Lepisosteus oculatus: one gene and its partner. The main gene of each other region encodes a partner of the protein of the gene in region 2 in a complex. Links are inferred from orthologs where the notes say so. Each region holds a gene or a part of one and is shown on either strand. Other genes may lie near its edges.

Evidence for each region. Proteins that work in one complex are often made in the same cells at the same time.
Region 1: prpf8 (region 2) and prpf4 share a complex: the UniProt entries of both Homo sapiens proteins name them as parts of the U4/U6-U5 tri-snRNP complex. The link is inferred for Lepisosteus oculatus from reciprocal best matches to the Homo sapiens genes PRPF8 and PRPF4.

The regions. Positions count from the first base shown.
Region 1 is NC_090719.1:270,870-274,619, forward strand, and holds the start of prpf4 (U4/U6 small nuclear ribonucleoprotein Prp4), read left to right. Parts: upstream 1-1,245; 5' UTR 1,246-1,329; intron 1,330-1,386; exon of another isoform or gene 1,387-1,530; intron 1,531-2,312; exon of another isoform or gene 2,313-2,407; 5' UTR 2,408-2,432; coding exon 2,433-2,595; intron 2,596-2,786; coding exon 2,787-2,973; intron 2,974-3,087; coding exon 3,088-3,175; intron 3,176-3,271; coding exon 3,272-3,351; intron 3,352-3,750. UniProt on the Homo sapiens protein: Plays a role in pre-mRNA splicing as component of the U4/U6-U5 tri-snRNP complex that is involved in spliceosome assembly, and as component of the precatalytic spliceosome (spliceosome B complex).
Region 2 is NC_090721.1:8,662,494-8,666,243, reverse strand, and holds the start of prpf8 (pre-mRNA-processing-splicing factor 8), read right to left. Parts: upstream 2,533-3,750; 5' UTR 2,385-2,532; intron 1,949-2,384; 5' UTR 1,937-1,948; coding exon 1,837-1,936; intron 832-1,836; coding exon 663-831; intron 285-662; coding exon 120-284; intron 1-119. UniProt on the Homo sapiens protein: Plays a role in pre-mRNA splicing as core component of precatalytic, catalytic and postcatalytic spliceosomal complexes, both of the predominant U2-type spliceosome and the minor U12-type spliceosome.

The sequences.
Region 1 (3,750 bases), on a different chromosome or scaffold from region 2:
CCTACTTCATTGGGCCCCTGAGCAAGGCCCCTGGAGCAAGGCCCCAGCTGCTCCAGGGGCGCCGTATAAATGGCTGACCCTGCGCTCTGACCCCCAGCTTCTCTCCCTGTCTGTGTGTCTCATGGAGAGCAAGCTGTGGTATGCAAAAAGACAAATTCCTGATGCAAGAAATTGTATATGGCCAATAAAGTGATCTTATCTTATTACTTTAATGCACTTTATTGCTTTCAAAACTACTTTATTAATCCTTTAATAATTTCAGAATATATTATACCTAGGGTAGGATTTTAACAGTTATCAAACTGTGCTGTTCAGAACTCAGTAATTAGCCGGCCTATCCTGCATACTGCCTCGCTAACGTATAAACATCGGTGCCTATAAGGGGCAGCACTTGCATTAATCTTAGCCTCTAAATATAATAAAACCAAGTGTTCGTAACATTCATTAACTGAGATAATACTTTGCTACAGGTGGGAATATCTGACGAGGCAGCTCAAACCGAGGTACCTAGCTCTCGCACGGCGCTCTCCGCGGACCGACCAGCCTGCGCTCACTCGTCCCGGACGAACCGGCGTTGCTGCTGAAAACAAAATAAAGACAAAATGAGAAAGGCAGCCGGGCGTCGTCATTCGTGCGGTGAAGAGGCTGCCAGCGGCCCGGCTGCAGAAGCAGGTCTGGAGGACAACAGCAACAGTCAACCAAGTTTCGAAACTTCAAATTACAAGTGTTCCTTCACAGGCCGCCAGGCACGGAATAAACACATTTACAGGAATTGGGACTTCTTCTTATTGCAAACATACAGTAAATAATGGACGTAAAGTAGTCCTAAACCCCACATACCTCCTATATTGTATATAGACCCCGCTGAAATGAACGGTGAACCACAAAAGGAAGCGCACCCCCTGTAGATGGGATTTGTAGTCTAATGAGACTTAATCCAGATTGCTTCCTTTGTACAATGAACTACATCTCCCAGATAGGACTACAGTGAGCCCCTTGTTTCATGAGTTAGCGGTTCATATTGGGGCACATGATGTGTCAGAACAATGCACCATCTCAAGTGATAGATATATCTTCTGTAATATATGTGAGACTAACCGATGGGTGAATTTTACATTTAGTTGGAAAAATATGTTTTGAAATACATTCCTTAAGTCTATTAGGCCTCCCGGCCGACAGAACGCGCTGTCCGTCCGGAATGGGTTGCTACTACAACCAGTGACGCAATTTCCGGCTCCGGTATCGGTTTGTCCGCCTGCCACTGGAGAGCGCTCGTGCAATACTCGCTTCCTCTCGCCAGCATCGCGGTGGTTTCGTCTAGGAGTTCAGGTATTTGTAACTTCAATACATTTTCATAATAGAAGCGATTAATTGGCAGTTTCCGCAGTGTGTGTGGGGTCCACGGTTCCTGGAGCAGAGCTGGGGTCAGGTCTGCAGGGTTGCACACGTGTTTAAGTCCTCAGATCTGCTGCTCCGTCTCAGCGCTGATATCTGTCGCACTGCTGTTCGGAAACACCGCTCCTGGACACAGTAATGATGTGACTTTTCTTCAAGTAGCTTCTCCTCTCTTCGTGATATCCTCAGAGTTGCGTAGAAATATTTGAATTCGTCCTGTTTCCTCGTTGCGCTGCCTGTTTGTGATTCTATGGGAAAGTAGACTTACTTTTATTACATTTCTTAAGGAATTCAACGTTTAATTTGGCTGAACGTGAAAACTAATGCGATCGGTCTTGATGTCTCTGGGCCGACAGTTATTAACCTTTGCTGCCTTGTTTGCAGTCTGGCTCCCACTGCCGTTTAACATAGTTAACTATAAGACTTTCTGATTTCTTAGAAACTTGATTTAAATCCAAGCAGTTATGTTTTACACGCACTTAAAAAATACATTAACAGTACAAATCAACTATACTCAAAATAAACAACGTTATATTAAACGCATCGACTCATGCTGTGCATAGTCCTTACACACCCTTGCTACAGGACCTGTGGACCTGTGAGTTTACGCGGCCACTGTCACCCTAAACACCTATAACAGCACAAAACCCGTTCATTTTGCTGCTTTACATCCTCTCATTTGTTAATAGTGGACAGAAAATGTGATGTGATGTTACAGGTCAGTATTTTGTCCTGATAAGTCTCATGTGAAAGGTATTTCATGACTCTTGGGTCGACAGCGATGTTACAGGTGACCACAGACCTGCTGACTCCCAGTGCCCTGTTCTCAGTGTTCACACAGAGGACACCTCCGGCCTGGGGACCCTTCTCGCCTGTCCTGGGTGAAAGTGTGTTTGTGCGTCTGTGTGTTTGTGTAGCTGTGATCCGGACCCCGCTGTGTGCCGTGCGGAGGGTGCTGTCCAGGAGTTTGGGGAGACGTGCTCTCGACTCTCTTCCTTCTCCCTGTGTCCAGTAAGCGGTCCAGTGGCTCGAGCACGATGTCGGACGAGGAGGACGTGCCCGCGGTGAAGAAGTCGCGCATCTTCTATGGCAGCCTGGAGGAGCGCGAGCGCGAGCGCCTGGGCCGGGGCGATGCGCGCGGCGCCAGCAGGGAGGCCCTGAAGGCCGGCATCGAGGCCGGCAACATCAACATCTGCAGCGGTCAGTGCGCAGTTCAGGCCTACAGCACACAGCACAGCCCCCACTGGGCCGGGGCCTGTAGCTACCGCGTGTCACTGACGCTGTCGGCTGTCTGTGCCAGCGCCCCGAGCGGGGCCCCGCCTGTGTGCCAGCGCCCCGAGCGGGGCCCCGCCTGTGTGCCCGGCGCTGAACGGTGCCCTGTCTGTGTTCAGGCGAGTCTATGGAGCTGGAGGAGCGGGTGAATGAACGTCAGGCAGAAGTCCTGGCAGAGTTTGAGCGCAGGAAGCGTGCTCGGCAGATCAACGTCTCCACTGATGACGCGGAGGTGAAGGCCTGCCTGCGCGCCCTGGGGGAGCCCATCACGCTGTTCGGGGAGGGGCCCGCCGAGCGCCGGGAGAGGTGGGTGCAGCAGGGCAGAGGTCAGCCGAGGGGGGCGCAGTGACGGTGGTGCCAGTCTGCGGGGAGCGTAGCCCCAGAGATCACGGCTGAGCTGAAGCCTCCTCTCTCCTCCAGGCTGCGGAACATCCTGTCGGTGGTGGGAACTGACGCTCTGAAGAAGTCCAAGAAGGAGGACGACAAATCCAAGCGGTCGCAGGACGAGGTACAGGAGCAGCTGGGCAGGACAGGATTCTTTTATTCTTTTCACTCTCTGCTCTTTAGTCTGAATAACCTCCCTCTCTGTCTCTCATGTTCTCAGTTCCAGCAGACCTGGTACCATGAGGGCCCAGGCAGTCTGAAGGAGGCCCGTCTGTGGTTGGCCCGATACTCCCTACCCAGGTGAGAAACTAGGGTGTTTACACTCCTCAGTGGCATCTAATCCTGCTTCTAGATGCACTGCAGCATGAGAGAGTAGCAGGTTGTGTTATACTTAACCTGCACACTAAATACTTTTCATCTAGAAAACTCTTGTTTTATATCTTCTCGTGAGAACTGTTGTGCGCATTGTTGCAGGATGTGCTGATTGTACATGTAGTGCAGCCTGTCTGGGTGTCTCAGGTTGGGCTGGCTGCTGTTAATATAACACTGCTGATTGCTGTCGGAGGCTTTGATTGGAAGCGCACTGGAAGCTCAGCTGTGGAGACATAAAAGAATTCATATCGCCCCCGACCGTGTAGCCCCTCTCTGTCTCGGAGTAGCAGCACCGTCAGCCTCTGGAACTGCATGGCTGCAGTCCAG
Region 2 (3,750 bases):
TTCTTCACAAAACCCCAAACCAGCATGACACCCAGAACCCATAAATAATTCTAGTAACTCTATTTAGTGCTCATTAAGGGAAATCCACGTAGTGCTGGCAAGCTGTACAGCTCTCTCACCCCCACTGTGCGATGTAGACGGGCTCGATGACCCAGGGGATCTCGTTGACAAAGGAGATGGCCCCAGTGATGTGGTACAACACAGGCACGTCCCGGATCTGCTCCCAGGGCATGGGCATGTTCTCCAGCAGCTTCAGGACAGCATGGGGCATGTACTTCAGGGCGCTGGGCAGCACAGACACGGGACATCAGGGACAAAGCCATTTTATACCTTCCATTACACAAGCAGGCCCCTGTCTAAGGTACCCGAGGTCAATGTGGAATTGAATCCACAAGTAAGAAAAGATTAACAAATGAATAGGATTTCACACCATGCAGAAAATGTCTGATCTTCAAAACCTTTCAAGATCCTCATTACACTTGTGCACATAGTATAGCAATTTTACAATTCCAACACAATATTCCAGTTTATATTCCAAAGGAGTACACACTTCAAGACATACAGATCATTGGGGGGAGGGGGGTAACCTTCAGGGGAATCAGGGTTATGAGCCCCAAAGACAGCACTGCTGGAAAGATGTGCAGCCCCGAGTGTTGCCTTACCCCAGATACACTCTCTTGTCATGGCGGAACTTCCTGTTGGTCATGTCGCCGTGGTCGCGGATGATCTTGCGGACGTGCTCGGGGGGCATGTCCTCCTTCTGGGCGTCCACGAAGCCGAACTTCCTCTTCTCCGCGTAGCGCTTCGCCTGCAGCTGCTGCCATTTCCGAGCTGCGGCAGGGAACACAACGGGGTGTCTTGTCAACCAGCTGCATTTGCACCCCCTTGCGGGACGCCAGGGGCAATATTACTGCTGTTACCAACAGTGCCGTGGGATCTTAAAGAATAACTGATAACTCCTTACACTGCAGTAGAGCTTTACTGGACACGACACTCAAAACGCTTTAAGGGGTAATGGGGATCCCCTCCACCCCCACCAGTGTGCAGCCCCACCTGGATGATGTGACGGCAGCCATAGTGCACCAGTCTGCTCGTCACACACCAGCTCTCAGTGGGGAGGAGACCAGAGTGATGAAGCCAGTTCAGAGATGGGATTAGGAGGCCATGATTGGTAAAGGCCAATGGGAAATTTGGCCAGGACACTGGGGTAACACTGCTACTTTTTCCTAGAAATACCCTGGGATTTTTAATGACCACAGAGAGTTTTAAGTCCCACCCGAAAGAAAGTGCCTTTTTACAGTTTAGTGTCCCCATCACTATACTGGGGCATTAGCACTCACACGGACCACACCCCTACTGGCCCCATTAACACCTCTTCCAGCAGCGACCTTAGCTTTCCCAGGAGGTCTCCCATCCAGGTACTGCCCAGTCCAGTGGGCTGCCAGCTGTGAGTTGCAGGGCAATATGGCTCCTGGCCAATGGAGCAGTACAGATCTCCAGGCACCACAGTGGGGAGGGCTGGCTTGGACATGCTGGGCTTATAGTTAAGAGCACTGGTCCACCACCACCACCACCACTTACAACAGCAGCAGCCCGGTTTTCTCTCAAGGTCTCCAAACCCAACAAAAACAGCACAGATAAACCGCACTCTGCTTGAGAGCTGGCAAGATCGCCCTAACTACTGTCCGACACACGCTGGCTTTTCACGCGTCAGGTTCGAGCGAGAGTGTTTACGTCTGCCGTTCAAGCAGTTGATCCAAACCCTCAACTCAGACACGGCCCTTTTCCGAGCCACACTAACACAGGGTGTCTCCTCCAGTGTCCCCCCTCGCTCACCTTTCTCCTGCAGCTTCTCTTCAGACATGTAGTCCGGCACCTGGCCCGGAGTGGGAATCGTCCCTGGTGCTGCTCGGTACGGAAAAGCAGCAGCAGCCATGGTGACGCCAACCTGAAACCGGGCAAACAACAGCGATGTTAGCTCCTGCTCTCCGTGTGGCGTGTACGCGGCTCGGTGTAACTTCTAAAACGCGCAAAAACGTGTTCACGGGAAATAAACATCGAGCTCCCCCGCCAAAACAGCATATTCTAGATCAACCGAGGCAGTGGCAACACTTACGCCAGGAAGTCGCTGTAATTTGTAAACAGTTCGATCACCGATTGTCTGGATTACAAAATCCATGGGCGATCATATTGCGTACATACCGACATTCGTCTTTATTATGACCCCCACGGGGGAAAAACAAACTACACGAAAAATAAAATCGGATTACACGACAACACGACCAGCTCACAAGTTTGCGCCACAGTCTAGGCCAAATAAAGCGCAGCTCCTGCAACTTTTCCAATCGCTGCAAAACTGCTCTTTCATCACCAGTGTTACCTACCTCAGGTCCACGGCACTTTATTTATATGTAAAATCCGTCCCTATGCAATCTCTAGATCATTCCTTTAAACGATATTTTATTCAAATCCGTCCACAGCTTTCTCCGCTGCTAAACATCCACCAGGCACAATGGCGCAGACTAACGCAGACCGCACGATGCCAAACTACGAAAGTATTCGCGAAGAACACTTACGTTTTTTCCGTAGCTCTTGTGCTGTGTTTGCAATAGAATACCCGATAGCAACCAACGCCAAAAGCGTAAGCGTTAATGCGTGACCTTTTGTACAAAGCCCCGGATGTTTACCCGGAAAATGATTTAGACTACATTTTATTGGCGGGTATAATTATCCAATCAGTGAGGTAGGAGGTGGGCTAGAGAGAATGATAGGAACCATCGAGATTTCAAACAAGGATATACGTCACTATGCAGTTCGTTGAATCGCCATCTTTGTAGAGTGTACGCTTTAGAGCGTATTATTATAGTAAATAAACAGTAAACATTTTCCCAGCATCGTCAATCTCCCTCTCCACCCCAATAATTAAAAGTGTCAATTGTTTTTCCCTACATCTGGAAAAAAAACATTATACAAGAAAAATTAAATTGATTGAAATCATCTGAAGAGGGTGGTGCCCAAATGATAGACATTGATATCATGAATGGTACCCTAACGATAAAATGGTTGCGTTCTTTTATGAATAATAAAGACAGCTTCAGGTTTGCTATTCCTAGGAAAGTAATGGGAAAAATAGGAGGCTTTGACCTCTTGCTGAGATGTGACTTTGACATAAACACGCTCCCAGTCAGACTTTTTGTTTTTCATCAACAAGTACTGTTATATTGGAAATGATCATATAACCATAACTTCACCCCTCATAATGCTGTTATATGGAACAACAGATATATCTGGCAAAAAAAGAGCATATTTTATGAATCCTGGTTAAATAAAGGTATTTGGTCAGTCGTGCATCTATTGGAGAAGGCTAATGGAGAAGTTAATAAATTTTGTGATTTTGTTAAAAATATGACATTTATATGACAATTATAGATGCAATTCCACCAGATGTTCTGACTTTGGTAAAAAAAAAATCCACATTCCATAGTAATATAATTCCCCTACTACCTGAGATCAAAATTGGTACCTACAATATTTTAGAAAAACGTGCAATAATAAATACACCCAGACAATTATGGCAGATAGATTCTACCCTCAAGGAGAAAGTAATTTTTAATTAAAGAGACTATTATTCTCTTATGTCTGCTAGAATCCAGGTGGGGCTGCACACTGGTGGTGGTGGAGGGGATCCCCATTACCTGTAAAGAGCTTTGGGTGGACTGTCCAGAAAAGTGCTATATGAGTGTAAGCAAT